2 linked regions of the Xenopus tropicalis genome follow. The protein of the gene in region 1 purifies or fractionates together with the protein of each later gene. This does not show direct contact. Links are inferred from orthologs where the notes say so. Each region holds a gene or a part of one and is shown on either strand. Other genes may lie near its edges.

Region 1 (16,592 bases):
CCCTTTGTTCGTGTTTGGATTCTTCCAAAATCCTTCTGGAAAGATTCCAGGTTTGGGCGAATCCCCAACATAGCGATTAGGCGCACCCCGAAATCCCACACAGCACGGGGGGGGGGGCATGTACATATCGGCCAATGTTGGGGCAGGTACAGATTAGCCCCATAGGGTAAGGCTGGGTGAAACCCCTCACACATGGAGGTCAGGGGGGTGAGCACCAGATTGTAAGCTCTTGTGAGCAGGACCCGCCCCTCTCCTTACACTCTGGTGCGACTTCCCCCCCGTTACTCTCTAACGGGCTCATTAGGGAGATACACAGCCTATAGGGATGGGCAAATGCAAATATATGTAAATTCATTCTGTAAGATGGAAATGATTGGCCGGCAAGGGGCTGTTGGTGATGAGGTCATTATTACAGTACGGCTGCAGTACCAATATGTTCCACTAGGGGGAAACCACTCACTTCGGTACCAGCGCGTAGGTTGGTTCCCCCCAACCCTTCTCTGCACTCAGGGGCCTGGCGCCTCTGGATCAGTGTAACCGGGGGCAACAGCACCGGGCTCTCAGAACTCGTGGGTCAGGCCCAAAGCTTATTCACAGCACAAATACTATGAGTTACCAGTTTGTGCAGGGAGGGGCCATAGTGCAATCTATTTACTGGCCCAAATGCCCCGGTCCCCCCAAGAGCCTTAGCCCCTCCGACTCCCTACTGGGCCCAAATGCCCCGGTCCCCCCAAGAGCCTTAGCCCCTCCGACTCCCTACTGGGCCCAAATGCCCCAGTCCCCCCAAGAGCCTTAGCCCCTCCGACTCCCTACTGGGCCCAAATGCCCCGGTCCCCCCAAGAGCCTTAGCCCCTCCGACTCCCTACTGGGCCCAAATGCCCCGGTCCCCAAGAGCCTTAGCCCTCCGACTCCCTACTGGGCCCAAATGCCCCGGTCCCCAAGAGCCTTAGCCCCCCGACTCTCTCTGGGCCAAATGCCCCGGTCCCCCCAAATAGCCCCCGGGAATCCAGCCCAAGAACCTTAGCCCCTCCGACTCCTACTGGGCCCAAATGCCCCGTCCCCCCAAGACCTTAGCCCCTCCGACTCCCTAACTGGCCCAAATGCCCGGTCCCCCCAAGACCTTAGCCCCTCCGACTCCCTACTGGGCCCAAATGCCCCGGTCCCCCCAAGAACCTTAGCCCCTCCGACTCCCTACTGGGCCCAAATGCCCCGGTCCCCCCAAGAACCTTAGCCCCTCCGACTCCCTACTGGGCCCAAATGCCCCGGTCCCCCCAAGAACCTTAGCCCCTCCGACTCCCTACTGGGCCCAAATGCCCCGGTCCCCCCAAGAACCTTAGCCCCTCCGACTCCCTACTGGGCCCAAATGCCCCGGTCCCCCCAAGAACCTTAGCCCTCCGACTCCCTACTGGGCCCAAATGCCCCGGTCCCCCAAGAACCTTAGCCCCTCCGACTCCCTACTGGCCCAAATGCCCCGTCCCCCAAGAACCTTAGCCCCTCGACTCTCTACTGGGCCCCCGGTCCCCCCAAGAACCTTAGCCCCTCCGACTCCTACTGGGCCCAAATGCCCCGGTCCCCCAAGAACCTTAGCCCCTCGACTCCCTACTGGGCCCAAATGCCCCGGTCCCCCAAGAACCTTAGCCCTCCGACTCTCTACTGGGCCCAAATGCCCCGGTCCCCCAAGAACCTTAGCCCCTCCGACTCCCTACTGGGCCAAATGCCCGTCCCCCCAAGAACCTTAGCCCTCGACTCCCTACTGGCCCAAATGCCCCGGTCCCCCAAGAACCTTAGCCCTCCGACTCCCTACTGGGCCCAAATGCCCCGTCCCCCCAAGAACCTTAGCCCTCCGACTCTCTACTGGGCCCAAATGCCCCGGTCCCCCAAGACGCTTAGCCCCTCTGACTCCTACTGGGCCCAAATGCCCCGGTCCCCCAAGAACCTTAGCCCCTCCGACTCTCTACTGCCAAATGCCCGGTCCCCCCCAAGAACCTTAGCCCCTCCGACTCCCTACTGGGCCCAAATGCCCCGGTCCCCCCAAGAACCTTAGCCCCTCCGACTCCCTACTGGGCCCAATGCCCCGGTCCCCCAAGAACCTTAGCCCCTCCGACTCCCTACTGGGCCCAAATGCCCCGGTCGCCCCCAAGAACCTTAGCCCTCCGACTCTCTACTGGGCCCAAATGCCCCGGTCCCCCCAAGAGCCTTAGCCCTCCGACTCCCTACTGGGCCCAAATGCCCCGGTCCCCCAAGAACCTTAGCCCCCTCCGACTCCTACTGGGCCCCAATGCCCCGGTCCCCCCAAGAACCTTAGCCCCTCCGACTCCCTACTGGGCCCAAATGCCCCGGTCCCCCAAGAACCTAGCCCCTCCGACTCCCTACTGGGCCCAAATGCCCCGGTCCCCCCAAGAACCTTAGTCCCTCCGACTCCCTACTGGGCCCAAATGCCCCGGTCCCCCCAAGAGCCTTAGCCCCTCCGACTCTCTACTGGGCCCAATGCCCCGGTCCCCCCAAGAACCTTAGCCCCTCCGACTCTCTACTGGGCCCAAATGCCCCGGTCCCCCCAAGAACCTTAGCCCCTCCGACTCCCTACTGGGCCACCAAAATGCCCCCGTCCCCCAAAACCTTAGCCCCTCCGACTCTCTACTGGGCCCAAATCCCCGGTCCCCCAAAAGCCTTAGCCCCTCCGACTCCCTACTGGCCCAAATGCCCCGTCCCCCCAAAGAACCTTAGCCCTCCGACTCTCTACTGGCGACCCAAAATGCCCGGTCCCCCCAAGAGCCTTAGCCCCTCCGACTCCCTACTGGGCCCAAATGCCCGTCCCCCAAGAACCTTAGCCCCTCCGACTCCCTACTGGGCCCAAATGCCCGTCCCCCCAAAACCTTAGCCCCTCTGACTCCCTACTGGCCCAAATGCCCCGTCCCCCCAAGAACCTTAGCCCCTCGGACTCCCTACGGGCCCAAATGCCCCGGTCCCCCAAGAACCTTAGCCCCTCCGACTCCCTACTGGGCCCAAATGCCCCGTCCCCCAAGAACCTTAGCCCCTCTGACTCCCTACTGGGCCAAAATGCCCGGTCCCCCCAAGAACCTACCCTCTGACTCCCTACTGGCCAAATGCCCCGGTCCCCCCAAGAACCTTAGCCCCTCCGACTCCCTACTGGGCCAATGCCCCGTCCCCAAGAACCTTAGCCCCTCCGACTCCCTACTGGGCCAAATGCCCCGGTCCCCCAGAACCTTAGCCCCTCCGACTCCCTACTGGCCCAAATGCCCCGGTCCCCCAGAGACCTTAGCCCCTCCAGCGCCTACGGCCCAAAATGCCCGGTTCCCCCCAAAATCCTTGCCCTCGACTCCCCTACTGCCAAATGCCCCGGTCCCCCAAGAGCCTTAGCCCCTCCGACTCCCTACGGGCCAAATGCCCCGGTCCCCCCAATAACCTAGCCCCTCAGACTCCCTACTGGCCCAAATGCCCGGCCCCCCAAAGAACCTTAGCCCCTCCGACTCCCTACTGGGCCCAAATGCCCCGGTCCCCCAAGAACCTTAGCCCCTCCGACTCTCTACTGCCCAAATGCCCCGGTCCCCCCCATAGAGCCTTAGCCCCTCCGACTCTCTACTGGGCCCAAATGCCCGTCCCCCAAGAACCTTAGCCCCTCCGACTCTCTACTGGCCCAAATCCCCGGTCCCCCCAAGACCTAGCCCTCCGACTCCCTACTGGGCCCAAATGCCCCGGTCCCCCCAAAATCCTTAGGCCCCTCCGACTCCCTACTGGGCCCAAATGCCCCGGTCCCCCCAAGACCCCTCCGACTCCCTACTGGGCCCAAAATCCCCGGTCCCCCCAAGAACCTTAGCCCCTCCGACTCCCTACTAGGCCCAAATGCCCCGGTCCCCCAAGAACTAGCCCTCCGACTCTCTACTGGCCAAATGCCCGGTCCCCCAGAACCTTAGTCCCTCTGACTCCCTACTGGCCCAAATGCCCCGTCCCCAAGAACCTTAGCCCTCCGACTCCCTACTGGCCCAAATGCCCCGGTCCCCCAAGAACCTTAGCCCCTCCGACTCTCACTGGGCCAAATGCCCCGTCCCCCCCAAGAACCTTAGCCCCTCCGACTCCCTACTGGCCAAATGCCCCGGTTCCCCCAAGAACCTTAGCCCCTCCGACTCCCTACTGGCCAAAAATGCCCCGGTCCCCCAAAACCTTAGCCCTCGACTCCCTACGGCCCAAATGCCCCGTCCCCCAAGAACCTTAGCCCCTCCGACTCTCTACTGGGCCAAAATGCCCGGTCCCCCAAGAACCTTAGCCCTCCGACTCCCTACTGGGCCCAAAGCCCCGTCCCCCCAAGAACCTTAGCCCTACCGACTCCCTACTGGGCCCAAATGCCCCGGTCCCCCCAAGAACCTACCCCCTCCGACTCTCTACTGGCCCAAATGCCCCGGCCCCCCAGAACCTTAGTCCCGCGACTCCCTACTGGGCCAAATGCCCCGGTCCCCCAAGAACTTAGCCCCTCCGACTCCCTACTGGGCCCAAATGCCCCGGCTCCCCCCAAGAACCTTAGCCCTCCGACTCTCTACTGGGCCCAAATGCCCCGGTCCCCCCAAAAACCTTAGCCCTCTGACTCCCTACTGGGCCCAAATGCCCCGGTCCCACCCAAGAACCTTAGCCCGTCCGACTCCCTACTGGGCCCAAATTGCCCCGGTCCCCCAAGAACTTAGCCCCTCCGACTCCCTACTGGCCCAAATGCCCGGCCCCCCAAGAACCTTAGCCCCTCCGACTCTCTACTGGGCCCAAATGCCCGGGTCCCCCAAGAACCTTAGTCCCTCTGACTCCCTACCTGGCCAAAATGCCCCGCGTCCCCCAAGAACCTTAGCCCTCCGACTCTCTACTGCGGCCAAAGAATCCCCGGTCCCCCCAAGAACCTGAGCCCCCCGACTCCCTATCTGCCCAAATGCCCGGTCCCCCGCCACAGACAATCAATCCGAGTGTAATTACGGGGGGGGGGGGGGGCGATATAATTATTGGGGAGAAATCGCTTGGGACCCGTTTTGTTTCCGTGTTTAATTCACTTTAATTTCTAGTCTTTTTCATTAAAGGGGGTGTTGCCCTTTCAGTTAACTATTCATTCTCTATTATTTGTAGCTTAGGAATCATTTTACTACTAAATGTTGGAATTTAAGCAGCTATCTGGTTGCTAGGGTCCAATTTACCTTGGCAACCTGGGAGTGGTTTGAGAGACATATGAATAGGGGAGGGGCTGAATAGAAAGAGAAGGAATAAACAATAACAATAATAAGGAGGCAGAACAGGAAGGCAAATAATTCAATGAAAGATAAAGAAAAAAGACCAATTGAAAAGTTGCTTAGAAGCGGCCATTCTATAAACACTGAGCGTTACTGTAACTGACTGAAAGTACAAAAAGCTGAAATGTTGTTATTTTCACCCCGGAAACAGAAATGACTGTTAATGAAACGGGAAACTGAGGGAACAGCGGAGATGGCGGCCTCCCCGGTACTGTCCCAGCGTATAACCCCGCCTTACGCCGACTGGCCACGCCCACAAGGCATTACGTGATGCGTCACTCCCACCAGTTACGTGCGGCCGTGACGCCACTCTCGCGAGATGAGACTTGGGCTGTGGGGAGAGAAGTTGGAGCCTGTGTAGCGGCCGCTCTGCCTCCCTCCCTCCCGTATCGGCCTCTCTCCCAGGTACGTACTGCCCCCCCCCACTGTGTGTAATGCCCCCCAGTATTACCCCCCCTCTGTGTATAATCCCCCCCCCAGTATTACCCCCCCACTGTGTGTAATGCCCCCCAGTATTACCCCCCCTCTGTGTATAATGCCCCCCCAGTATTACCCCCCCACTGTGGTAATGCCCCCCCAGTATTACCCCCCCTCTGTGTATAATGCCCCCCCCAGTATTACCCCCCCACTGTGTATAATGCCCCCCAGTATTACCCCCCCACTGTGTGTAATGCCCCCCAGTATTACCCCCCCTCTGTGTATAATGCCCCCCCAGTATTACCCCCCCACTGTGTATAATGCCCCCAGATTACCCCCACTGTGTGTAATGCCCCCCCCACTGTGTGTAATGCCCCCCAGTATTACCCCCCCACTGTGTAATGCCCCCCCAGTATTACCCCCCACTGTGTGTAATGCCCCCCCACTGTGTGTAATGCCCCCCCCCCCCACTGTGTGTAATGCCCCCCCCCCACTGTGTGTAATGCCCCCCCCCACTGTGTGTAATGCCCCCCCACGGTGTGTAATGCCCCCCCACTGTGTGTAAATGCCCCCCCCCACTGTGTGTAATGCCCCCCCCCACTGTGTGTAATGCCCCCCCCCACTGTGGAATTGCCCCCCCCCACTGTGTGTAATGCCCCCCCCCCCACTGTTTGTAATGCCCCCCAGTATTACCCCCACTGTGTGTAATGCCCCCCCCCACTGTGTGTAATGCCCCCCCCACTGTGTGTAATGCCCCCCCCCCACTGTGTGTAATGCCCCCCCACTGTGTGTAAATGCCCCCCCCACTGTGTGTAATGCCCCCCCCCACTGTGTGTAATGCCCCCCCCACTGTGTGTAATGCCCCCCAGTATTACCCCCCCACTGTGTGTAATGCCCCCCCAGTATTACCCCCCACTGTGTGTAATGCCCCCCCCCACTGTGTATAATGCCCCCCAGTATTACCCCCCACTGTGTGTAATGCGCCCCCCCACTGTGTATAATGCCCCCAGTATTACCCCCCACTGTGTGTAATGCCCCCCCCCACTGTGTGTAATGCCCCCCCCCCACTGTGTGTAATGCCCCCCCCCCACTGTGTGTAATGCCCCCACTGTGTGTTTGTAAGCCCCCCCCACTGTGTGTAATGCCCCCCCCCACTGTGTGTAATGCCCACCCCCCACTGTGTGTAATGCCCCCAGTATTACCCCCCACTGTGTGTAATGCCCCCCAGTATTACCCCCCCACTGTGTGTAATGCCCCCCCCACTGTGTATAATGCCCCCAGTTATTACCCCCCCCACTGTGTGTAATGCCCCCCAGTATTACCCCCACTGTGTGTAATGCCCCCAGTATTACCCCCCCACTGTGTGTAATGCCCCCAGTATTACCCCCCCACTGTGTGTAATGCCCCCCAGTATTACCCCCCCACTGTGTGTAATGCCCCCCAGTATTACCCCCCCACTGTGTGTAATGCCCCCCAATTACCCCCCACTGTGTGTAATGCCCCCCAGTATTACCCCCCCACTGTGTGTAATGCCCCCCCAAGTATTACCCCCCACTGTGTGTAAATGCCCCCCAGAATATACTATTGTCACTCCCCCACTGTGTATAATGCCCCCCACCCCCAGTATTACGCCCCCAGAATATACTATTGTCACTTCCCCCCCCACTGTGTATAATGCCCCCCCACCCCCCAGTATACCCCCCAGAATATACTATTGTCACTCCCCCCCACTGTATAATGCGCCCCCCACCCAGTATTACCCCCCCAGAATATACTATTGTCACTGCCCCCCACTGTGTTATAATGCCCCCCCCACCCCAGTATTACCCCCCCCCCCAGAATATACTATTGTCACTGTGAGTGGGCCCCTAAACTCAGCTAAATGACAGCAGAAAAGAAGGTGGGGGGCATTTTTTGGGGGCAACAGACCTTCTCTGCTAAAGGGCGGGGGGGGGTATTTAGTGGCACAGTAATAACCAATACAGAGTCCGACCCCAACCCACCCTTTCCTGTCCGCTCCTGGCCTGATGCCCCACCGGGATTTTTGTACCTTTGCCTGTGGGGGTGTTTGGGGGGGCAGGTAATGATGTCACCAAAGGGTCTGGGCTGTGACATCACCTGAGAGGAGGTTTGGTCCAATACCCACCCGGTGTGTTTATTGTTTGTAAGCAGCAGTCCTGCCCTGCTTTATGGCTGAGATTCTAGCTATCTGTATAACAGAGCATTCTGTCACAGTGGCACAGATCCTATCTGATCCGCCCCATTGTAAGCAGCAGTCCTGCCCTGCTTTATGGCTGAGATTCTAGCTATCTGTATAACAGAGCATTCTGTCACAGTGGCACAGATCCTATCTGATCCCCCCATTGTAAGCAGCAGTCCTGCCTGCTTTTATGGCTGAGATTCTAGCTATCTGTATAACAGAGCATTCTGTCACAGTGGCACAGATCCTATCTGATCCCCCCCCATTGTAAGCAGCAGTCCTGCCCTGCTTTATGGCTGAGATTCTAGCTATCTGTATAACAGAGCATTCTGTCACAGTGGCACAGATCCTATCTGATCCCCCCCCATTGTAAGCAGCAGTCCTGCCCTGCTTTATGGCTGAGATTCTAGCTATCTGTATAACAGAGCATTCTGTCACAGTGGCACAGATCCTATCTGATCCCCCCCCATTGTAAGCAGCAGTCCTGCCCTGCTTTATGGCTGAGATTCTAGCTATCTGTATAACAGAGCATTCTGTCACAGTGGCACAGATCCTATCTGATCCCCCCCCATTGTAAGCAGCAGTCCTGCCCTGCTTTATGGCTGAGATTCTAGCTATCTGTATAACAGAGCATTCTGTCACAGTGGCACAGATCCTATCTGATCCCCCCCATTGTAAGCAGCAGTCCTGCCCTGCTTTATGGCTGAGATTCTAGCTATCTGTATAACGGAGCATTCTGTCACAGTGGCACAGATCCTATCTGATCCCCCCATTGTAAGCAGCAGTCCTGCCCTGCTTTATGGCTGAGATTCTAGCTATCTGTATAACAGAGCATTCTGTCACAGTGGCACAGATCCTATCTGATCCCTCCCATTGTAAGCAGCAGTCCTGCCCTGCTTTATGGCTGAGATTCTAGCTATCTGTATAACAGAGCATTCTGTCACAGTGGCACAGATCCTATCTGATCCCCCCCCATTGTAAGCAGCAGTCCTGCCCTGCTTTATGGCTGAGATTCTAGCTATCTGTATAACAGAGCATTCTGTCACAGTGGCACAGATCCTATCCCCCCCCCATTGTAAGCAGCAGTCCTGCCCTGCTTTATGGCTGAGATTCTAGCTATCTGTATAACAGAGCATTCTGTCACAGTGGCACAGATCCTATCTGATCCCCCCATTGTAAGCAGCAGTCCTGCCCTGCTTTATGGCTGAGATTCTAGCTATCTGTATAACAGAGCATTCTGTCACAGTGGCACAGATCCTATCTGATCCCCCCATTGTAAGGTTATATATAGGTGTGTAAGTGCCTGTGGATACCCCGGGTGGGAAAGCTGTGTCCCTATTGGAGCCTGGCGCAGGAGGCGGGGCTAACCAGAGCCTATGGGAATGCTGGTTTCCCGGTTACTCATTTACCAGTAAATATTGATATTGTGCCGCAGCCGCCGGTGCCTGTCACTGCCAGTGTTTAGTCTATGCTCCTACTATCAGTTTATCCCCAGCTTATCTGCACTTACTGACCCGGTTCCGCTTCCGGCTCTGTTACGGGCCAAGTCCCCTATTTACGTGTTTGGGGGGCACCGCCGTCACATTATTATACTGCCTCCATGTTACGGGGCTCTAAATAAATCCAAATCCAGGCTGGAGAGAGGCAGATTTATTGCAGTGAATTGGGGCAGGTAGATTAGATTGTAAGCTCTGCTGGGGGCAGTGACTAATGGAGAGGAATACTAATAATGGCCCTGCTACGGGAGCCCAGGAGGGACAAACCAGTGTTACTTAGCACTAAGGAAAGCATCTGATGTCTGTGATTTTCCCCATAGGAGAAGGATCTCCCCCTGAGCGTCGCCATAGGCCGAGGGCCTGAGGAGAGAGGTAGGGTGGGTATACCGGGGGGTGGGTATACCGGGGAGGGGGGTGTATATAAGAGGGGGGGGTAGTAAACGCCATATCTTTTGCCTTTATTTAATCAAAATACCAAAGAGGAAGATGGGAATGGAGTGTGAGCAGCAGGTTGTGCTTTCCCCTTCCTCCTCCTCCTCCTCCTCCTCGCTGTGTGTTTATGGCTGCCTTCCCTGCCCATCTGCTGTGTGATTCTCCCACCAAATGGTATCGGGGGGGGCGCAGTAACGGCGAATCCGCTTTCCTTTGTGCCAGGGTGCCAATGAAGCGCTCTCACACCCCGCCGGGGGCCCTCGCCAACGGGGCCCTGCACTCCCTCTCCCGCGAGCTGGGCAAGGGGAGCGCCGTGATGCTGTCGGCCGCCGTCCTGGAGCTGCCCAACCCCGGCACTCGGGTGCCCGCCCAGCAGGAAAGCCCCAGCCGGGGAGCCTCAGTCAGCGAGTACCCCCACGCGGAGGGCAAGTCCGGGGGAACCGTCAAAGTGTATCTTCCCAACCAGCAGAGGACAGTGGTGAGTCTCCGGCCTATGTTTCCGCCATTTGTGCCCGTTGCCGGCTTTGTGCCCATTCTCCCTTGTGCCCGGCAGGTAAACGTGCGCCCTGGCATGACGGTGTACGACTCTCTGGATAAGGCACTGAAAGTGCGCGGTCTGAGCCAGGAATGCTGCGCGGTGTATCGGCTCATACAGGGGTAAGTGGCACAGCATGGCGGCTACGCTTTACGTCTGTCCCGCTCGCTCTGTAGCGCCCATTGTGTTTCCCTTTGCAGCCGCAAAGCCCTGACCGACTGGGAGACGGACATCACCCCCCTAGTGGGCGAGGAGCTGATGGTGGAGGTCCTGGCCGACGTCCCCCTGTCCATGCACAATTTCGTAAGCCGCTTGCAATATTAACCTTCAATTAAAGGGGAACTTTACCCAAACACAACTTTGCAATATACATTTATTAAAAAACATTCCGCTTTTTCCTGATTTTCAATGTACTAATGTGGGTCTGGAACGGTTCCCTAAGCCCCGCCCCCTGTTCCGCTGACTACGTTCCTGACTACTGTCCTAAAGGTCCCCTGACGGGCCTGCCCGACCGATATCTGGCCTGAAATCGGGCAGATATCGATTGGGCAGGTTTAAAAGATCTAGTTGGATTGGGGACCACATCGGCTCGTTGATACGGTCCCCGAACCGCCTATACCCGTCGTTATAATTCGATCATTTGGCCCCAGGGCCAAACGATCAAATTAACCTGGATTCTCCTGATATCGCCCACCCGTAGTTGGGGGATATCAGGAGAAGATCCGCTCGCTTGGCGATGTCACCAAGTGAGCGGATCTTATCCCGATATCCCCCAATCTGAAGGTGTATGGCCACCTTAAGTCTTCAGCCTCCAAATCCCACAATCCCCTGCTGCACACATGATGTCAATAAGGAAAGGGACACCCCAGAGCAATGCATTGTGGGCTATGTAGTTCCTGCCTGCTGTCTGTAAGCTGTGGAGAAGTTGTTACAATTCGTAACATCAACGTTTTAGTCCCTCCTCCCCTGTCTGGATTTTAAATGATGATACATTTCAGTGTATAAAAATTAGGGATGCACTGAATTCGGTTGGGGATTGGGATTTGGCCGAATCCTTCAGGGTGGGTTTGGGATTCAGCGAATCCTTCAGGGTGGGTTTGGGGTTCGGCCGAATCCTTCAGGGTGGGTTCGGGGGTTCGGCCGAATCCTTCAGGGTGGGTTCGGGGGTTCGGCCGAATCCTTCAGGGGGGGTTCGGCCGAATCCTTCAGGGTGGGTTCGGGGGTTCGGCCGAATCCTTCAGGGGGGGTTCGGCCAAATCCTTCAGGGTGGGTTCGGGGGTTCGGCCGAATCCTTCAGGGGGGGTTCGGCCGAATCCTTCAGGGTGGGTTCGGGGGTTCGGCCGAATCCTTCAGGGGGGTCAGCCGAATCCTTCAGGTGGGTTCGGCCGAATCCTTCAGGGTGGTTCGGGGTTCGGCCGAATCCTTCAGGGTGGGTTCGGCCGAATCCTTCAGGGTGGGTTCGGGGGTTCGGCCGAATCCTTCAGGGTGGGTTCGGCCGAATCCTTCAGGGTGGGTTCGGCCGAATCCTTCAGGGTGGGTTCGGCCGAATCCTTCAGGGTGGGTTCGGCCGAATCCTTCAGGGTGGGTTCGGCCGAATCCTTCAGGGTGGGTTCGGCCGAATCCTTCTTCAGGGGGTTCGGCGAATCCTTCAGGGTGGGTTGGAATTCGGCGAATCCTTCAGGGTGGGTTCGGCCTTCGAATCCTTCAGGGTGGGTTTGGAATTCGGCGAATCCTTCAGGGTGGGTTCGGGGGTTCGGCCGAATCCTTCAGGGTGGGTTCGGCCGAATCCTTCAGGGTGGGTTCGGGGTTCGGCCGAATCCTTCAGGGTGGGTTCGGGGGTTCGGCCGAATCCTTCAGGGTGGGTTCGAACGAATCTTTCAGGGTGGGTTCGGGGGTTCGGTGCATCCCTAATAAAAATGTGATTTCGGTTCGGAAGTCGAAGTTCCCCTTTAATAATAATCCGCCATTTCTCTGTCCCTCAGGTGAGAAAAACCCATTTCACCCTGGCGTTCTGCGACTTCTGCCTGAAGTTCCTGTTCCACGGCTTCCGCTGCCAGACCTGCGGCTACAAGTTCCACCAGCACTGCAGCAGTAAGGTGCCCACGGCCTGCGTGGATATGGCCAAGCTGCCCAAGCCCCTGTGAGTAAGAGCGGCCGCCCTCGCCGCCAAAAGTGCTTTCAATTAACTCCTACAGGGTGACATTTTTTAAAAAAAATTGCAATTGGTCTTCATTTATTTTAATTATTTGAAGTTTTTCAACTATTTAGCTTTTTTTCAGCATCTCTCCAGTTTGGGATTTCAGCAGCTATCTGGTTGCTAGGGTCCAAATTACCCTAGCAACCAGGCAGTGGTTTGGATGAGAGACAGGTATATGAATAGGGGAGGGGCTGAATAGAAAGAGAAGGAATAAAAAGTAACAATAACAATAAAACTGGAGCCTCACAGAGCAATAGGGTTTGGCTGCCGGGGTCAGTTATCCTGTTGCTAGGGCTCAAATGACCTTAGCAACCAGGGAGGGGTTTGAATGAGAGGCTGGTATATGAATAGGGGACGGGCTGAATAGAAAGATAAGGAATAAAAAGTAACAGTAACAATAAAACTGGAGCCTCACAGAGCAATAGGGTTTGGCTGCCGGGGTCAGTGACCCCCATTTGAAAGCTGCAAAGAGGCAGAAGAAGAAGGGAAATCATTCAAAAACTAAGAATAAATAATGAAGACCAATTGAAAAGTTTCTAAAAATTGGCCATTTATAACATAGTAAAAGTTAAATTAAAGGTGAGCTGCCCCTTTAAGACAGATTTGGCGGATTTCCCACCATATTCACAGACCCCATATCTATTAACGGAAGGAGCAAAGTTTGCTACCAATCTAATCGCCCATAGCAACCAATCGGCAGGCAGCATTTACTGGTCACCTGTTTTTTTATTGGTTGCTATGGGTTACTGCTCCAGGGCAAATGGGGTGCCTTTTAGTACATATGGGGGGAAGTCTTTTGCTCCTCCCCCTTGCAGCTATACCCGGGTACTAATTGATTTCTCATGAATATGCAAATGGCCCCCACCCCGCATACTGGTCATTGGCTTATTCATTTCCCAATCAGAATGCCCTCTTGCCTCCCTCCCTGTTGTTATGACCTTGTCCAATTTTGACTCCATTTACTGTCACATTCTCTGCTGTGATTGGCTGGTGTTTCACGTTCCCATTCATTCCCTTGCGTATGATTGGCCTCGTGTCTCTTCCTGTTTATGCTCCTCCCCCTGCGCTAGTAGTGGAATAATCCTATTTTCTCTTTATTTAGGACGCCTCTCAGTTATCAAGATTTCCAGTCCTACTATGAACATCCCACTGTCCACTTACCCCTCAGCCCCCAGCCCCCCAGGTAACGCCGGCTGTGTCATGGCCCCCATTATCTTCTCCTCTTCATTTCGCTCTCCCTGGTTCCCATTCCATTCCATGTCTCCCTCTCGCAGCCCCCGGACTCAGCACCCAGGAAGCGCTTCCTTTTCATTTCCTGGTGAGGGACAGCCACTGCAGCGGCACCGCTCCACCTCCACCCCCAACGTTCATATTGACAGCACCACGGGCCCCGTGGATAACTCCATCATTGAGGTACTGCCCCCCCAGCTAACTAATAACTCACTGGGGCTCATCTAATGTTAGGTAACACTTTGGCCACTAGAGGGAGCACATTCTTTACATTGCCAGTGGGAAGAGAGCAGCCCAGGAGCAGGATGTAAAGAGAATCAGAGCTCTGTACCTGGGTAAGTACTGGGGGGAGATTGGATTCACTTACCCAGGGGGGGGGTTCCTGCCTGACCATGGGAAAGAGAGCAGCCCAGGAGCAGGAAGTACAGAGAATCAGAGCTCTGTACCTGGGTAAGTACTGGGGGGAGATTGGATTCACTTACCCAGGGGGAGGTTCCTGCCTGACCATGGGAAAGAGAGCAGCCCAGGAGCAGGAAGTACAGAGAATCAGAGCTCTGTACCTGGGTAAGTACTGGGGGGAGATTGGATTCACTTACCCAGGGGGAGGTTCCTGCCTGACCATGGGAAAGAGAGCAGCCCAGGAGCAGGAAGTACAGAGAATCAGAGCTCTGTACCTGGGTAAGTACTGGGGGGAGATTGGATTCACTTACCCAGGGGGGGGTTCCTGTCTGACCATGGGAAAGAGAACAGCCCAGGAGCAGGAAGTACAGAGAATCAGAGCTCTGTACCTGGGTAAGTACTGGGGGGAGATTGGATTCACTTACCCAGGGGGAGGTTCCTGTCTGACCATGGAAAGAGAGCAGCCCAGGAGCAGGAAGTACAGAGAATCAGAGCTCTGTACCTGGGTAAGTACTGGGGGAGATTGGATTCACTTACCCAGGGGGGGGGGTTCCTGCCTGACCATGGGAAAGAGAGCAGCCCAGGAGCAGGAAGTACAGAGAATCAGAGCTCTGTACCTGGGTAAGTACTGGGGGAGATTGGATTCACTTACCCAGGGGGGGGGGTTCCTGCCTGACCATGGGAAAGAGAGCAGCCCAGGAGCAGGAAGTACAGAGAATCAGAGCTCTGTACCTGGGTAAGTACTGGGGGGAGATTGGATTCACTTACCCAGGGGGAGGTTCCTGCCTGACCATGGGAAAGAGAGCAGCCCAGGAGCAGGAAGTACAGAGAATCAGAGCTCTGTACCTGGGTAAGTACTGGGGGGAGATTGGATTCACTTACCCAGGGGAGGTTCCTGCCTGACCATGGGAAAGAGAGCAGCCCAGGAGCAGGAAGTACAGAGAATCAGAGCTCTGTACCTGGGTAAGTACTGGGGGGAGATTGGATTCACTTACCCAGGGGAGGTTCCTGCCTGACCATGGGAAAGAGAGCAGCCCAGGAGCAGGAAGTACAGAGAATCAGAGCTCTGTACCTGGGTAAGTACTGGGGGGAGATTGGATTCACTTACCCAGGGGGAGGTTCCTGCCTGACCATGGGAAAGAGAGCAGCCCAGGAGCAGGAAGTACAGAGAATCAGAGCTCTGTACCTGGGTAAGTACTGGGGGGAGATTGGATTCACTTACCCAGGGGGAGGTTCCTGCCTGACCATGGGAAAGAGAGCAGCCCAGGAGCAGGAAGTACAGAGAATCAGAGCTCTGTACCTGGGTAAGTACTGGGGGGGGGGGGGGGGGTTGGTTATTATATTTCTCACTATTAATGTGGATAAACTGTAGCGGCTACAGGACACCGGGCTAACGGCGCAGCCCCCAAGGGGTAACAGTCACAGACACAAGGGGCCCATATCTAACTCATATCACGCATTTCCATTCATTTCTGAGAAATGTCACTTATCATTGCCCCCCCCCCCCCCATAACATTGATTTGATTCTCCAGAAGTTGCAGTTATGGACCCTGCTGCCGCCGCGGGCTGCACTGCCTGCCCTGACTCTTCCCTCATTAACATTACAGTCTGACTCCGACCCTATCATTTTTTTAATACTTATATGGACCCCCAGCCTCCCCCCTTTATTGTAGAGATGTTTAATTCGCCCCCAGCAGATTTATAATTGGGGTCCTGCCATTTCTGTGAGATGTTTCATTCAAGGCTTATGCCTGCCCCGGGCAGTACCCCATAGCAACCAATCGGTGATTTGCTTTTTCCAGCCAGATGCAGGTAGAACAATGAGTGCAACAATTTGATTGGATGCCATGGGTTACTGCCTGTGGGCAAATTTGCCCATTACTGATACATGACCCCCATTGTGTGTATATGTCAGCCAATCATGGCCTCTGTGTCTCTCTCACACTGTCTCTCTCAAACTATATGTCTCTCACACTGTATGTGTGTGTCTCTCAAACTCTCCCTCTCGCTCTGTGTCTCTGTCTCTCTCCCTCTCTGAAACTGTCTCTCTCTCTTTTCCTCTCTGAAACTGTCTGCCTCTCTCTGAAACTATGTCTCTGTCTCTCTCCCTCTCTGAAACTGTCTCTCTCTCTTTTCCTCTCTGAAACTGTCTGTCTCTCTGAAACTGTGTCTGCCTCTCTCTGAAACTGTGTCTCTGTCTCTCTCTCTCTCTCTGAAACTGTGTCTCTGTCTCTCCCTCTCTGAAACTGTCTGCCTCTCTCTGAAACTGTGTCTCTGTCTCTCTCCCTCTCTGAAACTGTGTCTCTGTCTCTCTCCCTCTCTGAAACTGTGTCTCTGTCTCTCTTCCTCTCTGAAACTGTCTCTCTCCCTCTCTGAAACTGTCTGTCTCTCTCCCTCTCTGAAACTG
Region 2 (16,635 bases), on another chromosome or scaffold:
GGTTAGGTGGCGGGGGTGGGTAGTGTGGGCTGTGCTTGTGTACTCAGCTAACTTTTTATTTGCTTCACATGTAGCATACAAAATTTCACTAAAAAAAATAAAGAAAAAAATTATTTTACCAAGGACATGACCTTTTTGATTACAGGCACAAACGAAAGGAATCTTTACCATCTGAACACACACTTTAGTAGTTTACTTTTATCTTTTGGCATGATATAGGCAATGATTTTCTAAGTCACTTTGCAATTGTTAATATTTCATTTGGGAGGTTTCTGAACTAGTTAGCTCTTTGTTCATTAGATGTCCGGTTTGGTACTTCAAGGGCTAACTGATCGCTAATCTTTTAGTTACTCTAGAAACGCAGCAAAGAATTGTATGATGAATATATTTGGTCCATTACAGAATAATAAGCAAATAATTCAAAAACTATAAAATGAAAAATGAAGACCAGTTGAAAGAGTAAAGGTGGCCATACACTGAAAGATCCGCTTGTTTAGCAAGGTAACCAGATGAGTGGATCTTTCCCAAATATGCCCACCTTAGGGCATTCTATTCTTTTCTATGACCTATAACAGGGATCCCTAACCTTTTTTTAAATGATCTTTTTAATTGTGCTATATTAGAAGCATAAGACACTTCTGGCTGATCAAATTACAACAGTTAGGACTGACACTATCCTGAGATTTTTTTCTTTTAGTATCGATTCTGCTCCTTCAGAGCTAGGCATTACATCAACATGCTTTCAAAAAATCTGAATACAATGTTCTGTTAAATGTTCATCTGATTCAAGGTTGTAATTTATTCCTTCTTCGGCACAGCACAATATATTTGAGAATCTGTTTATATGGATAGGAGTAATTGTATATAGGTGTATAGTTTATAAATGGTAGATGAATCAGGCAGGGGCAAAGCTGGAGCAGGAGTTGGCTTATTGCCTATACATGAAACTACCGGAATAGTTTTATACTGATAAGCATAAAACTAGAATTACAGAATTGTAGCATAGACTGTATAAGGCCTTAAAGGAGTGTGCTTAGCTGGTTTGTCATATTTTCCTTAATAGCAGACAAAGTGCTAGAGAGTATTAATAATAGCAAAAACAATAAAAGTGTAGTGTTAAAAGAGTATTAAACATCTTTTTAGAGTCAAAAACTTCTAGTAATAAAATGAGGAACGATCTTTCATACCATATATTCATATTATATTTTACATTTTGCTTTCCACCATTTCTACAGATGCAAATGATAACACAGAAGCCAAACTTACAGGATTGGATTAAGGTTTGTTGGATTTGTATATACTCATTTCCCGACCAATCTGGCAGACCTAAATCCAGTGGGGGAAATTATGTCTGTTAAAGAACCAAAAAACAAAACAAAAATTTATTTTACCTGTAATACTATTTTACCTGTGTCCATGTAAACAAGTAATGTTTAAAATGTTAGAATTATAAAAAATCTATCTATTTTTGTGCTAAGGCACACGGTAAAAAAAATGCCAGCCAGGAATCGGGCCCTACATTGACATCAGCCTTCTTTCTTGTCTGCACATAGAACCATTGTGTCAGCCTGGGTGCAAGCATGCGCATCAGATTTCATGCGTTTCCTGCCAAAATCTACCACATGTGCCTGCACCTTGGCCAATGCAGTGGTTCCAGGTGCAGGAGTAGGAAGTAAGCCTATGCTAGCGTAGGGGTAAAAAAAGCAGCAAAGAGAATCAGCCCCGTATGGCATTAATTTAGCTAAATAGCATATTTACAATGCATTTTGCCAAAAACAAAAGTGCTGTTTTGAAGATTGCCTTGGGTATTATGAGGAGTAGTAATGTCTGCAACTGTTGCCAAAAGAGGTATTTAAAGCTTCATTTATTTTACAGATGACAATTTGAAAGAAGCTATCAGAAGTAGTATGATGGAGATGTAAAAAAGCAGGAACAAATACATTACTTTGTTTGATTCTTTCTTCAAATCTGTGATTGTCCTTTTTCTTTTTTTGTTCTTTTGTCTTTTCCCTGAAATTTGACTGCAGGGACACTTAAAAAGTTTTTGTCTTAGATTTTACCTATCTGTGTATTAGTATATGTTGATATATATGTAAAAAAAAAAAAAAAAACTTGCTTTGAAGACTATTAATTTAGATTCTCTGAAGATTATCAATGAAAAAATACTGAAAATAATAGTCGTCACACTCAGCGAGTAGTTTAGCCCTTATAGTGCATTTTACCCAACTCCAGTCTGCATTTGCCATTCTATCCAAATGAATACAGTGAGTATATGAAAAAAATGAGTTGTGCAAGATGTGAATTGTAATGGCTTTGTTTTCCAGTTTAGAGCCTTTCTAACCCAGATTGTTTTAGGTGAACTTCAAAGATGATACAACTTTTAATCACACATTCACTGAATGTACTAAAGCCTGTGCCTTGTTTTGCAGAGGACTATAGGTAAGAAATTAGAAAAATATATATTAAAAAGTATCCGGCTTCCTACCCCCAGTCTTTCCATTTTGCTGTTGTAATTTGCTAATTATAATCAATTTCAAGTATTGTGTAGGAAATGGGAAGGGCAATCATTTCATGAAGCCAATTATCTGCTCAGCTGCCATTTACTACATTTATCAATTAGGAGGGACTTTCTTTTGCTAAAGAATAAAACATATCCCTTTAATCATCCAACACCTGGAAAAGTTTTCATTATAAAAGGGTTGAAGGAATGAATAACCTAAAAGTGGCCATACAAATTTAAGCCGCCAATTTGGGTCCTTTAGACTGATTTGGCAGCTTATCTGCCCATGTATGGGCACCCCCCACTGGGCCTACCCAGCCTAAAATTGCCCAGATCTTGATCGGGCAGGTTTGATATTCTGTCCAACCAACAATCCAATTCAGTCCTCGACTGTGCCTCTGCCTGCTGGTTTAACTTCAATTAGTCCGATATTGTCCACCTTAGGGATCTTACTGTGTATGGCCACCTTAAGGACAGATTGTGTATTTTATCCTGCACTATGCCAAACTGGTGTTATTTTGTTTATCTTTTTTATTTTTTTGTAAGCTTTATGCTATAAAAGCTATAAACGGTTCAGTAGGGAAAAGAAAGTCAGGTGATGCAGGAATTTAAGAAGAATTTAAATTTTAAGATTCCTGGTAGGACCATATTTACGTTCACAGCCTATTGGGCTTCTCTTCTTTAATGGAAAGGATTGTTCCCAACCATTTTACAGCAGAGGGAATGGAATCCCTTTTCAGCTGGAATGTATCTGATGTCCTGCATTAAAATGGAAGTTCCCCCAATATACTTCTATTCAAAAACTGCATTGAGGTATCTGCTCTGGAAATTGCAAAAGTGGAAATGTTTGTGAGGGGGGCAGGGAAGAGATATGGAATATATTGTAGTACATCAGTGCAAGTTAATCAATTATCAGTTTCACGTGTTTTTAGTATTAAAAAAGTGGTAAACTTTAGGGTAATGCCATTTTAGGTGTTTTGTAGATCCGTGCTCAGAGAATACTCAATATTACCCCCTCCAACGACAACTGCCATTACTGCTCTAAAACAGGCGTGCAAACAGTCGAGAAGTAAGTTTGTTACCACTATTCTCCATGAGCACTCCAGAAGACACAAGGCGGGCCCTGTATAATTTATGGAGCAAACTCAAATCTGCCACATAATTCACAATGGAGGCACAGGCGGCTAATGTGACTTTTCTGAAGAGGGCCTGTTTTTAATGGAAATGGTGAAGCTATTAAGGCTGTTATGACCAAGATGGCTCTCTCTTCATACCAAGGGTAGCTCAGTTTATTTTGGAAGGAATGACAGAACTGCTGTCGACTTTTTTTTTTTTTTACTAATTGGTGCATATAGTTCTAACACTGACTAATAATCATCAATTTAAACTTGCACTATAATGTTATGTTTCCCCACCAAGGTTTGTCATCCAATATCTCATTTATTTCACTGCAGCAATAAGGCTGCAAAATTGCTTTCTCCTTCCAGATCAGGTCATGCACTTTTCCACACATGCCTATAAAAATATCACTTTAAGAGCACCCACATTATTGCAAACCACAACGTTCATAAACAAAAAATAAAAGACCTGACAGCAGTCCCTAAAATAAGGCAATGTGACACTGTACAAAGTCTGGGAAACTGCAAAGAAGGAAGTGTTTTACATGCTACAGAGTAACCCTACATATGGGGAAAACAGTATATACAATGACAAACGCTGTCCTGATAAGGAACACTCTGGCACCAAAACACCAATAGCTGTAGATTTTAACTCCCTAATGCCTGAATGAGTATGAGCAATAATGGTATGAGCTGGAATGTAAGTAGCAGCAGGTGACTGCATAAAAGGGCTTGCTATCACTGTTGTGCAATATGCCTCATCCAGCTAACAGTAAAAATCTTGTAAAATTGTAGGTTAAAGTTTACTGTTTTCTGTAACACGTAAGCTGTTCTATAAAATATGATCTTAACATTGTTACTTAACAGAAATAGAAGTTCAGAACTTACAGTAGGGGTGCATTTATTAACACTGGAGACAAACATCACCGATGATCAGATCTTTGCTTTTGTTTTTTTAACTTGTAGAGGACCATTCAAATCTAATTGCTGATTGGTTGCTATGGGCAACATCACCGGTGATGTTTGTCTCCAGTATTAATAAATACGCCCCTATTGTGTGTATTGTACTCATTCTGACCCTTGCATTGCTTTCCATTGGGAAAAAAAGGCAACAGAAACAAGTTAGGAAAGTGTAGGGCTAATCTATTTCACCATATTTTACACCGTTTTGTTGCTAATTTTCTGTGAATAGTTAAAAACAGCACATAAGGTAGTTACCTATACTCTATCTCCTTGTTTATATATCAGCCAATACTAATTCCCATAGTTTTGCATTTCCCTGAAGCAGGCAGAAATTTCCTTAGGACCCTGACAGCTGATTGTGCCCAAAACTGGATGCTTGCCAACTGGGGCTTCCTGGTGGTGTGTATGTTGTTACCTAAGAGTATAAGTAAGTACAAAGTCCCCTGTAGGAGCATTGCAGGAAGGGTTTAGTGTTACAAATCACCCTCCCCTGTGAATGGGAAATGCCACAATCTTGCCTTGTTCTGCTTATTGCTAACCACATATGAATGAAACATGTGGCTCTGCATTTTCCATTGATACAAACCTGTCACTAGACAGAACAAGGCATCATCGCAGTATTTCCCATTTACTTTGGGGAAGAGATTTATAGATTTTTTCCCAATCTCTAAGTGCAATACATTTCTGGAGCTACAAACAATGATAATCTTCCCATGTACCATTACCCTTAATAAGAAAAAAATACCAGTGAAGCTTGCAATGGCCGGAGTTGCAGCTGATTTTCAGTGCGGTGGGGTGGCCCTAAATTCCCCATTAGGGATGTAGCGAACCTCAAAAAAAAAGTTTGCGAACCTGTTCGCGAACTTTGCGAACCCCATAGACTTCAATGGGAAGGCGAACTTTAAAACCTAGAAAAGCCATTTCTGGCCAGAAAACTGATTTTAAAGTTGTTTAAAGGGTGCCACGACCTGGACAGTGGCATGCAGGAGGGGGATCAAGGGCAAAAACTTCTCTGAAAAATTGACACACGCCGTTTTTCGAAATGATCGGTAATTTTGCGACTTTTTCGTAATTTCCGGCGCTTTCGTAAAGTTATCGTAAGTTTTGCGACTTTTTCGGAGCATTCGTAACGTTATCGTAAGTTTTGCGACTTTTTCGGAGCATTCGTAACGTTATCGTAAGTTTTGCGACTTTTTCGGAGCATTCGTAACGTTATCGTAAGTTTTGCGACTTTTTCGGAGCAGTCGTAACGTTATCGTAAGTTTTGCGACTTTTTCGGAGCATTCGTAACGTTATTGTAAGTTTTGCGATTTTTTCGGTGCCAGCGAACCCAAATTGTGAACATCACGAAAAGTTCGCGAATTTGCGGACTTGCGAACACCCGATGTTCGCGCGAATTAGTTCGCCGGCGAACAGTTCGCTACATCTCTATTCCCCATGCACATGCGTGTTTGCGACTCACATAACCCCCCTCCCATATGAGGTTTCGTACAATATCATCATTCTGGCTACTAAAAGACAATGCTGACCATTTACTGATAACCGTCTCTACGTGTGTTTTAGCAGAGGCAATTTTCAGTATTGTCTATGGCAGGGTATTTTCTGGAGATTAGTAGCTGAGAAAAAATATCTGCTACTAGTAGCCCAGTGTGTCTTCACCCTTAATATAAGCAGGCTCTGTCCCTTGGTTGGGGAGGACCCATACAGTAGGCTATAAATGAAATGAATGGTTTGAGTGTACAGTGTAAATATGAGCAGAACAGGCAGTGTATCTGCAGTAGAGTGAGTGAATGAACAGTTGAATGAGAGTAGGTACATTATATTATATATATGATCAGCAGCAGAGAATGAGTGATTGAACATCTGGAGGGGTGTAAGCACAGTTTATAAACAACAGGGAAAGCAGGTTAGGGAAGTTCGAGACCCCCAAAGCCCCATAAAATCAGTCCCTTAGGCAGCTGAGCTGCAGCTGGGGGCAGGGAAGTGAAGCAGCTGACAGTTAGTGCAGGGCCGGGAGCCGCCCAAGCCCATGTTAGGCAATGTTACACTATCCTGCTGTTCTATCCCGGTGAGAGTGCAGGAGGAGGAGGGAGAGATGTCTAGAAAGATCTAAGCATTTCACTGTCCTCTGTTGCTCAGTTGTGCTTTTTCTGTGGAAGGGAGAGTCCGCAAGCTATTATGGCTCAGGCTAAAATCCAGGCAAAGGCAGCCACCGAAGGGCACAATGCAGGCAAGTTCTGCCGCTCTGTCTCTATGGCAGCTCGATCCAACCACCTGTTAGAGATTTTGGACGATCTGGAAGTCAGGTAAGGAAGCGAGCAGAATGATGTCTATAATATGTACCCTGTGTATGCCCTTACTGTGCGCTCTGCCTGCTGCCCTGCCCTGTGGTGCCTGACTACACGTGTTCCCTATGGATACATACAGTATAACATCTCCCAGTCCTGCCCAATATATATGCACTACTGAGGGAAAGCCTGACTGAAAAGCATAAGCAAAAGTCAACTTGTTACAAAGTCATATGGCAGCAAAACTATATTCTGCGCTCCAGGGTCGATATATCTTTACAGTACTTTTGGCCTAGCCTTTGTTTTGTTCCTATTTTGTAGGAAAATAGTTTTCTACAGTCTGTGGAATGCCATATATTTGTGTAATATATATATATATATATATATATATATATATATATATATATATATATATATATATATATATATATATATATATATATAACCCAACTGAACAGTGGCTTTGGTGGCTCTGGATACTGTAGGAAACTTACCAGAAAGTAGGCATATTTTTTTGTTTCCCAGCACAAGTTGGAGCTCTGAGCTGAGAAAAAAAGATTATGCATTCTTTTGGTCAAATATTGGCCAGGGACAAATCACCAGGAATAAAGTGTGTATTGTTTCCTGGCGCAAGTAGGAGCTCTTAGAATAGAAAAAAAAGATTGATTGCACTTTTGGTGAAATATTGTGGACAGAAGGCAGGAGGCTGTGGTGGCAGTAGGTATAGCTGGCAACTCATCAGGAATAAAAGTGAATTATCCCTTACCTGACACAATAAATAGCTATGGTGAGTTAAGAAAATTACTTTTAATATTGGAAGCAGAGGCTTTGTGGAGGCAGGTATTGTTGGCAAATCAGCAGGATATACATTTTTTCCCATTTCAAGTTGCTGTGAGCAGAGGACAATAAACTACTGATGGACACTCACAGTCTGCAGTGCCCTGCACAGACAGTCATGTGTTGCCAGCAGCCCTGGTTATACACTACATTTTTGCTAGGTACCCAACTGGGCCAGGTGGTTAAATGTTGAGTGGCTGCAGTTATATAGTTTGTAAAAGTAATGTCACAGGTTAATCTCACTGATTCTACAGATTGAAAGGGAAGCTATGTTATTTGTAAGAACCATTTACCAAGGCAACCCCTCCATTACCTCATTCAGTGATGGATTCTGGGACTGAATTTCCAGATGCAAACATGTTGGTAGGTACACCCCTAGTCACTGCACTACATAGAGGGGTCCAGTTGGCACTGCGTCCCCCGTTCCCCGCTGCTCGCTAATAAGTAGGTCACAATCATGGGGTTTGCTTCTTCTATAGTTACACCACTGCTTTTTGGAAAACATCCCTCTAATAACAAATACCAAAGTTATAGATAGTTTGGGTCTTTAGTTGATCTATAGTTATAGGGAGCAAGGTGCATTTTAGTATAATTTAAGTGGGTAGTGTACCTCAAAAAAAATACCCTTATATTTGAATGTAAGTTTCAGTGTTTAAGCCAGTAGACTGGCTAGACAGTAGACTATCAGTTGGAACTAAAGGGAGGCACTACTTGCCTCAGCTCTGGGTTGTAGTTAACCCCAATACACTGGGCTTATGAGACTGTTTGAGAAGAAGTAAATAGTAGAACAAATTACTAGCATATTGAACTGCTACTTATAATTAGGCTGCAGCTTATGAAGGATTTAAAAAAAAAAACCTCTATCTCCATTTAAAATAATTACCCTATTTACAAGAGGAAGAAAACATAATTTTCCATTAGTACTTTATAGTAGGAAAGAATTAGGAAAATATGGATTTTTTAAATTAAAACAATACACAATGTATTTTCAACCCAAGTGATATTTATTATTGAGCAAACATGCATGCAGTTTTTTTACATGATGAGGTTGCACTTCTGTATTTCTGTGCCACTTCTGATGCAACTTTAAACAGATGACCACAGGCTATGGCACACAGTGTAATGACACATGCAGGCTATTTCCACATCTGAAACACCCATAGCTGTTCTCATTAATTAAAAAGTCCCCACAAGTCACAGAAGGCACCTGTATATTATTACCCTGAGCTCTAATCCTCAGCACTATCTTGCAGAATGTAGCACCAACCTAAGGCTAATTTGGTACACGTTTTTGCACAGTAATTGGCAGTAAATGTGTAATGTGGAACTTAATTTTCATGTCAGTGGGAATCAATCCACATCACATAGCTGCCATGGCTGAATAGGATGTGTACTGTTTGTGTACAAACTCTGTATGATTAGACCTTCCCCACGTTTGTGCTGATTGTTCTCACACAAATAAGGGAGAGGGTCTTTCAGAGGAGTGATCCATGAACATTTTTTCCATTTTGTAATTGAAACAATAAGCAGGAGCAAAACTTTAAACTGTAAAGACCAACTAAAACTTAGATTGTAATGAAAATAGAGCTAAAACATAACTATTTCCCTCATGTTTGCCTTTAATTGTTTGGCAGCAACCTTCCTTATCTCCATTCCTAGCATAATTCTATGCAATAATCCTCTAACATGAAACCAGTAAAGGGTGAGATGTAGCAGGCCAGAGGGAAGCACTAACGACTGGCGATGTTGAAGGCCAGGCATAGAATAGTCACACTGTTTCTTTTACTCTATCCAGTGCCATAAACTGAGAGCAGCATGGTTATTTCCCTAAGTGCAATTCATTAAGAAACATTTATGTAGCGGTCAAACTTACTGCTTACTCTGCAGTATGACGAATGGTTTGGGAGAATATATTCCTTCTGCATCATCCCTCAGCTTTTTGGAATAATAGATGTTCAGTTTAAGATAATTACCAAAAAGAAAAAAGCTTTAAAGTGTTCCCTATGCCACAAGCCACAAAGTGGAATGCGTGAGTAATGGTTAATTTTTCTGAAATCCACATTAATGCCCAAAGATCCTTTTAGTCACATGTTCAAAGGAAACAAAAATTCAAACAAGCATCTGGAAAATACTCAATTTTTAATAGACTGAGATTTTTTTAAGACATTATCTGTCTTTGTTTTTCTACTCCTGGTTATTTTTGGCCACATAAAGGGTCGATAGGTATTTGGGGCCTCCTCCTTGGCACGCTGGATGTCTGTTCTTTTCATTCCCCTTACTGCAGCATAAGCAAAAACAAAAATAACTAACCCATTATTATTATGGGAACGCTACTTCTCTTGGCTCCCCAGAGCAGCTCCATACACGCTCACCAAAACTGCCCAGTTGCACATATAGGCACATCACCGTCTGATATATCAGCCAAATTAATAAAGCTGTAGGCTTTCCAGCCACAGACCTACTGTGGTCCTCATTTATCAACTCTGGGTAAATTTACACCTGGGCAGGAATTTATAGCAGCCAATCAGTGAGTAGCTTTTTTCAGACAGCTGCAAGTAGAATAATAAAAGTTGCCACGGGTAACTGCCAGGGATAAGTTTGACCAGTGTTGATAAACGGGTCCCACTAACTGTTACATGCTGGAGCCCATGGGAGGTTGTCCCAATTTATCTGTTGCTTGAGTGTAAATATCATTGCCAGTTCTTTGTTGCTTTTGACATGTTTCCAATGGAACTTTAGCAGAATGCTGGGTTGTGTACAGAAAGCAGTAACGTGCTGACAAGGGAAAGTAGGCTATTTTCAGATAGCTAAAGGTCCATGGAGATCATTTTCTGCAGAGATTACACAGGTATGGGATACACCAGTATCACCAAATTAAAGGAAGGCCATCTCCCATAGACCCCATTTTAATCAAATAATTCAAAATTATTTTAATAAAATAATTTCCTTTTACTCTGTAATAATAAAATAGTACCTTGTACTTGATCCCAACTAAAATATAATGAATCCTTATTGGTGGCAAAACACTTTTATTGAGTTTATTTAATGTTTACATTTATTTTTTTAACAGACTTATGGTATGAAGATCCAAATTACGATAAGATCACTTATCCAGAAAACTCGAGGCCCCAAACATTCTAAATAACAGGTCCCATACCTGAACATCATATTAAATAAAAATTTTATGGCAAAGCTTTTGTAGGTTTCAAATATGATGGCGAGAAACAGATTCTGCTGAATGAATAGTGCAAAGGAATAGTGACATTATGTAGTTTTCCCACTCTTGCAGGGTCCAAGCCTTTCGTGATGCAGCCTCTGCCCTAGAGCTGGAGAGGGAGTCTCTGATAGAAAAGATTCACAGCGTGCAGAACAGTCATGACATAAGGACGATCAGTGATGGTAAGGCCTACTCATCTCTATAGATAACGAATCCATGATTCTTACCATTTTTTTAATAAATGACTCAACATTGCAGGTTTTAGTGGATATCATTTTATTTGTGGTTTCAAAAAAACACTAAAATCTGAATGTTGATAAATGTGCCTCTAAGGATTAACTATAGCAGATGCTTGTGCCTTAGAGCTGTTAACCCTGAATCTGGAGGGGGAGAGATTGACAGGAACAGTGGGCCTCACTCAAATGGAAGATACGCCTTAAGTTCTTCCATCTCTCCTGTCACATACCTCGGTTACAGATAAGAGTGACTGGCCATCTGTTCCCTTTCCCACCCCAAGGTTAACACACCCAGAAAGACCTACTGAGACAAAAACACAAATGTTGGTAAATGCAAAATGGTGTATCTGTTGGAGGAAAGATTATATAATTTCAGTATTTTAAAGGACATTTACCATGTATATAAGTTGGGCATGTCTCCCCCACCCAAACCACACCATTTGTATTGCAAAAAAAAAATAAAAAAAAATTTATATATAGTCTACAAAAAATCGGCACTCACCACTCCATAGATATCGGCCGGGTGCTAACCAAAAAATACAGAGTGCATATGTAGAAAGCACTCACGGCAATAGATATATAAACAGTCCGTTTATTCAATCATCGCATCTACGCGTCTCGACCCCCACAGGATCGTCATCAGGATAGGGAAAGGAAGTGAAGTGCACACATAACATGAACTAATCAGTGCTCCCAATCAATTAGCATGTTCAATCCAAGAGTCTGTAAGTATTATATCAATTAAGTGATTAAAAATCACTGTTAAAACCCCCCTCTCTCATAACACCATCTATGGAGCACCTACTCACGCATCATAAATATAGTTAACATTTATACATTACATCAGTAACAAAAATTGACACATGATTTTTTTAAAAGCACGATCATCAATAATATCAACATAAATATGGGGGCCAATAGAGAGCGGGGATAACCCGATAGTGAAAAACAAAATACTCAAACCATCTCCCATTGTGGGAAAGTTAGAGAAGTGAATAATATACTATATATCAGAGTCAGAGTCCACGAGGAGCAATAGTATCCAACCTTCGAATCCATTGAGCCTCCCTTTGTAGTAGTAGTTTAGAAATCACCACCACGCAATAAAGGGGGAATATGATCAATCAAACTAGCCCTTAACATGGGCAACGAATGTTTCTGTTGTGTAAAGTGCCTTGCAAGTGGAATATCAGACTTACCAGTAGCCAAAGCCGCACGGATCACTGATCTGTGATTGTTCATTTGTGTGGGGAAAGATGTAACACATTTTCCTATATAGTAAAAGCCACACGGGCACATAATGCAATAGATGACATGATCCAAGGTACAAGTCAATCTATGCCGTATCAAGAATTTTTTCCCAGTGTGGGGCAGAGCAAATGTAGTGCCTGTGATTAAACAGCCACACGTTTTGCAACCACCGCATTTGAAACATACAGGTTTACCAGGTTTCAGCCACGTTCCAGATGATTCATGTTTCAAATCAGTCACCATCAGCAAGTCTCTAAGCGAGCAACCCCGGCGATACGCATACACTGGAGGAGACATATGGGTAAATGGTAGACCAGAGTCTAACTGCAAAATGGGCCAATGCTTTTTAAGTATCATATTAACACCGTAACTCCCTGGTGTATAGTCAGTAATAAACACCATCCGATCTAGTTGTGTCTTGTTTAGTGAAGCTTTTGGTAAGTCATCCTGTGTCATCTTGATCGCCTTCTCCATTTCACTGTGGAGGAAATCCAAAGAGTATCCCCTCTCGACATAACGGTCACACATCTCATAGGCTTGCTGTGATGCAGTTGCAAAGTCAGTATTAATCCTAAACACTCTCAGGAATTGCGTGTAAGGAATGGACTTAATCACAGATGGAGGATGGAAACTATGGGCATGGAGTACTGTATTTCAATGTCTCTTTACGATACAAAGTAGTACCCACTCCCATAGGTGTACGAAAAATCCTAACATCCAAAAAATCAATCATATCTTTAGCATAATTCGAAGTAAATTTTACAGGAGTAGGAAGAGTATTAAGACTGGCAACGACCGTTTTGACTCCAATGTGGCCCCCACGCCATAGAATCAAGATATCGTCAATATTTCTACAGTATAACAATACATTGTCCATATAGTGAGGATAGATAAATTCAGACTCAAATGAGTCCATATATAAATTGGCGTATGAGGGGGCCACATTAGAGCTCATCGCCATGCCAGTCTATTGTAAATAAAAAAGACCCAGCATTTCTCTCACAATATCTATATATCTATACCCCCTCCATTCACCAGCACATTTTCCTGTAACAAATAGCAGCTTTCACCCAGCAGCTACTTTCGCTCTCACAAATCTTCAGTGACATTTACATCTGCAAACAGCACATGGGTGCTATAAAAATGCAGACTTACAAAGGTAGAACTTCCTGTGGTAAAAAGTCCTGTTTGGATTGGGCACTGTAATGGGTAAACTGAGCTCAGGAAAGGAGGTTAGAAGAAAAATGTGTCTCCAGCAGAGTGCAGAGCTAGAGCCGAGTTTCTCTGGAAATCCAGCTGTGCCATCTCCTCATTGGCTGCTAGACTGGAGGGTGTGTTTGGTAACCTGAGTTGAGAAAAACTGAGCATGCTCAGTAAGCCAAGAGCCAAAGTCAGTTCCTAAGTGAGGGGGCCAAGTGGGTTACAGGAGTGAATAAATTCCAAGTAAAGGGATGCATCAGCCTTACAATTAACCTTTGAACAATCGTAATAGCGGGTATTTAATGATTTCAAAGAGACTGTTCACTGATTACATTTTTTGTCGGGGTTGTACATTTCCTTTAAGCTCTAAAAAATCCTATGAAATTCTTAAATCTTTGTATATTTTGCCTTTTGTTTAAAGGGGAGAGAGAAGAACTACTTGTAACAGCTGAACGTCTAATGGGCCGCACCCTTACTGTTGCAGTAGCTGTAGAAACCATTAGAAACCCCCAACAGGAATCCTCTCTACAACAGGCCAGCATGATTATTGATGAAATTTTGAAAAAAGTCATGGACAACCTGGAAAATGGCAGGAAACAGTTAATGGGACTGTATGGAGCTTGTAGCTCGGAAGTTCCAGCAGGACCAGTAGACCAGAAGTTTCAGTCCATAATTATTGGATGTGCAATAGAGGACCAAAAAAGAATAAAAAGAAGGCTGGAGACCCTTATCCGGAATATAGACAACTCGGAGAAGTCAATCACGTTGCTTGAGCAGCAGAGGCAGAAATCTGCTTTTAGTTTGATTCACACCAAGAACCTGTAAATCTCCGGACTGACCCTCTACTTTTTCTTTTGCAAGGATATTGCAAGAACTGCAAACAGGAAGATAGACATTTAAATGGTATAAATCTACTGATACCATATTTAAATTCACCTTTAATTAAATGTTCACATATCATTCGTCCTGGGTTTGTGTTGAATTGCAACAGATATAGTTTTAAATACCTATAGTTCTATACGGCAGTTTACTAACAAATTGATCGATTATCTCATTTTACTAAATAACAAATACTGCTGTGCACAAAATGTTATTCAGTATAACTTAACCTGGGTCAAATCTGCTTTGAAGACTGGGCCAAAATCACTCCTTAACAAGTGCAAGTGCTTTGAAATACAAATAACAGAGATAAGAGAAAGATCCAAGGGTCTGGATAATTTTTGGAATGCACTGTATGTTTCTGTTGTCTTAAGATTTTAAGAACAAGCTAGTGCCAGTGAAAAGTTCCAGTAACGGTTTGGCACAGGTAATGCATTTAAAAAAAGAAGCAGGGGCATATAATTGATAAATCAAAATTCCTGGAGCTACAGAGGCCATTTTCAAAGGTTTAATTTAGGAACTAGAACAAAATATATCCCCTTCAGAATTTTGCAACTTAAGGCGGCTATACACTGTCTGACCTCCGGTGCTATCTGACTGATTGGCTTTTGGCCAGAATAGACAGATACATTAGTGAAGTTACACAGTGCAAACTATCAGAACTGCAGTGGCTATGGCTTCTCTTTACTTCTCATCCTCTGCTGCACCTACAGAAGGTCAGGAAAAGCGGGTAACCTGCAGGTTGTGGGTCTTACCTATATTTCTTATTTTATATTATTATGTTGGGTTGAAAACCGAACATACTGTTCTTCGAATTCAGCGTATTCTTCCGCTTTTTCTTCTTCTTCTTTGTGCCCCTTATTTTCTAAACGCTACTCCTCCTACAGTTTTAGGGGTACAACACTAAATCTCTCCACACTTCTTCGCCCTATAGCGGAGCAGGTTGCTTGTGGTTTTCTAAGCAATCCCGCCCCCCGTCTTTTTGTGGCGCCGCTCTGAACACCCCAATTTTCCCATTGACTTTGACAGGGAAGATTTTCAAACTGCTGCCACTCTTACAGCTTTGAAGCTACACCCCCCAAAAACTTGAATAACAATCATGAGGTCACCCCAAATGAAACAGCGGCATTTGTTGGATGAGTCAAAGTGGGATGGGCCAACAACAGCCAATCAAATTTCACCTATTGACTTTTACGGGAAAATTGAAACTGCTGCCAATGTTACAGCTTTGAGGCTACACTCCACAATCTTGAATCACATAGTCATGAGGAAAGCCTGAATGGAAATATGATGATTGTTGGATGCCCCAAAGTGGGTGGATCTGTGAACAGCCAATGAGATTTAACCTATTGACTTGGCGGAAAATCAACCTGCTTCCATTCTCACAGTATTAACACCAGGGTCCCCAAACTTTTCAGTTGGTCGCAGTTTTAGTTTTTAAAAAGCAGGTGGAGCCGCCAACAGCCAATCAAATTTCACCTATTGAATTCTATTGGTTTGATGCCAGGGTTCCCAAACTTTGCACAGTCAGTCACTGGGTGATTACATATTCAAGTTTTTTTTTAAGTGGGCAAAGCCACCAACAACCAATCAGATTTAACCTATTGACTTTCAATGGGGAAATTCAACCAGCTCCTATTCTCACAGTATTAACAACAGGGTCCCTAAACTTTTCACAGTTGGTCACTAGGGGACTGCAGTTTTAATTTTGAAAAAGTGGACGGAGCCACCAACAGCCAATCAGATTTCACCTATTGAATTTTATTGGTTTGACGCCAGGGTTCCCAAACTTTGCACTTTGTCAGTCACTGGGTGACCTCGTACTGAAAGTTAGAAAAAATAAGTGGGGCCGCCAAAAACCAATTACATTTCTTTCATTGTTTTCAATGGGAAAATATTATCTGCTGCCATTCTCACGTTTAATGTCAGGGTCCACAAACTTTGCACAGTTTCTAACTGGGTGACTATGTTCCAAGTTTAGAAAAGTGGGTGGGACCAGCAGCAGCCAATCAGATTTCACCTATAGACTTCATATGTTTAAATTTAAACTGCTGCCATTCTTTAAATATTAATACTAAGGTCCCCAGAGAGTTAGGCACCAGGTAACTGCAGTTCAGAGTTAGAAAAAATGGGCAGAGTCACCAAC

Evidence for each region.
Region 2: the proteins of araf (region 1) and bag2 purify together in Homo sapiens (affinity purification with mass spectrometry; 3 studies listed by BioGRID and IntAct, with this or other methods). This does not show direct contact. The link is inferred for Xenopus tropicalis from reciprocal best matches to the Homo sapiens genes ARAF and BAG2.

What each region holds. Positions count from the first base shown.
Region 1 is NC_030684.2:1,501,526-1,518,117, reverse strand, and holds the start of araf (serine/threonine-protein kinase A-Raf), read left to right. Parts: upstream 1-5,573; 5' UTR 5,574-5,684; intron 5,685-9,712; 5' UTR 9,713-9,764; intron 9,765-10,046; 5' UTR 10,047-10,053; coding exon 10,054-10,302; intron 10,303-10,377; coding exon 10,378-10,481; intron 10,482-10,559; coding exon 10,560-10,662; intron 10,663-12,341; coding exon 12,342-12,499; intron 12,500-13,658; coding exon 13,659-13,739; intron 13,740-13,830; coding exon 13,831-13,969; intron 13,970-16,592. UniProt on the Homo sapiens protein: Involved in the transduction of mitogenic signals from the cell membrane to the nucleus. May also regulate the TOR signaling cascade. Phosphorylates PFKFB2.
Region 2 is NC_030681.2:95,339,595-95,356,229, forward strand, and holds bag2 (BAG family molecular chaperone regulator 2), read left to right. Parts: upstream 1-6,643; 5' UTR 6,644-6,759; coding exon 6,760-6,887; intron 6,888-10,995; coding exon 10,996-11,105; intron 11,106-14,031; coding exon 14,032-14,435; 3' UTR 14,436-14,572; downstream 14,573-16,635. UniProt on the Homo sapiens protein: Co-chaperone for HSP70 and HSC70 chaperone proteins. Acts as a nucleotide-exchange factor (NEF) promoting the release of ADP from the HSP70 and HSC70 proteins thereby triggering client/substrate protein release.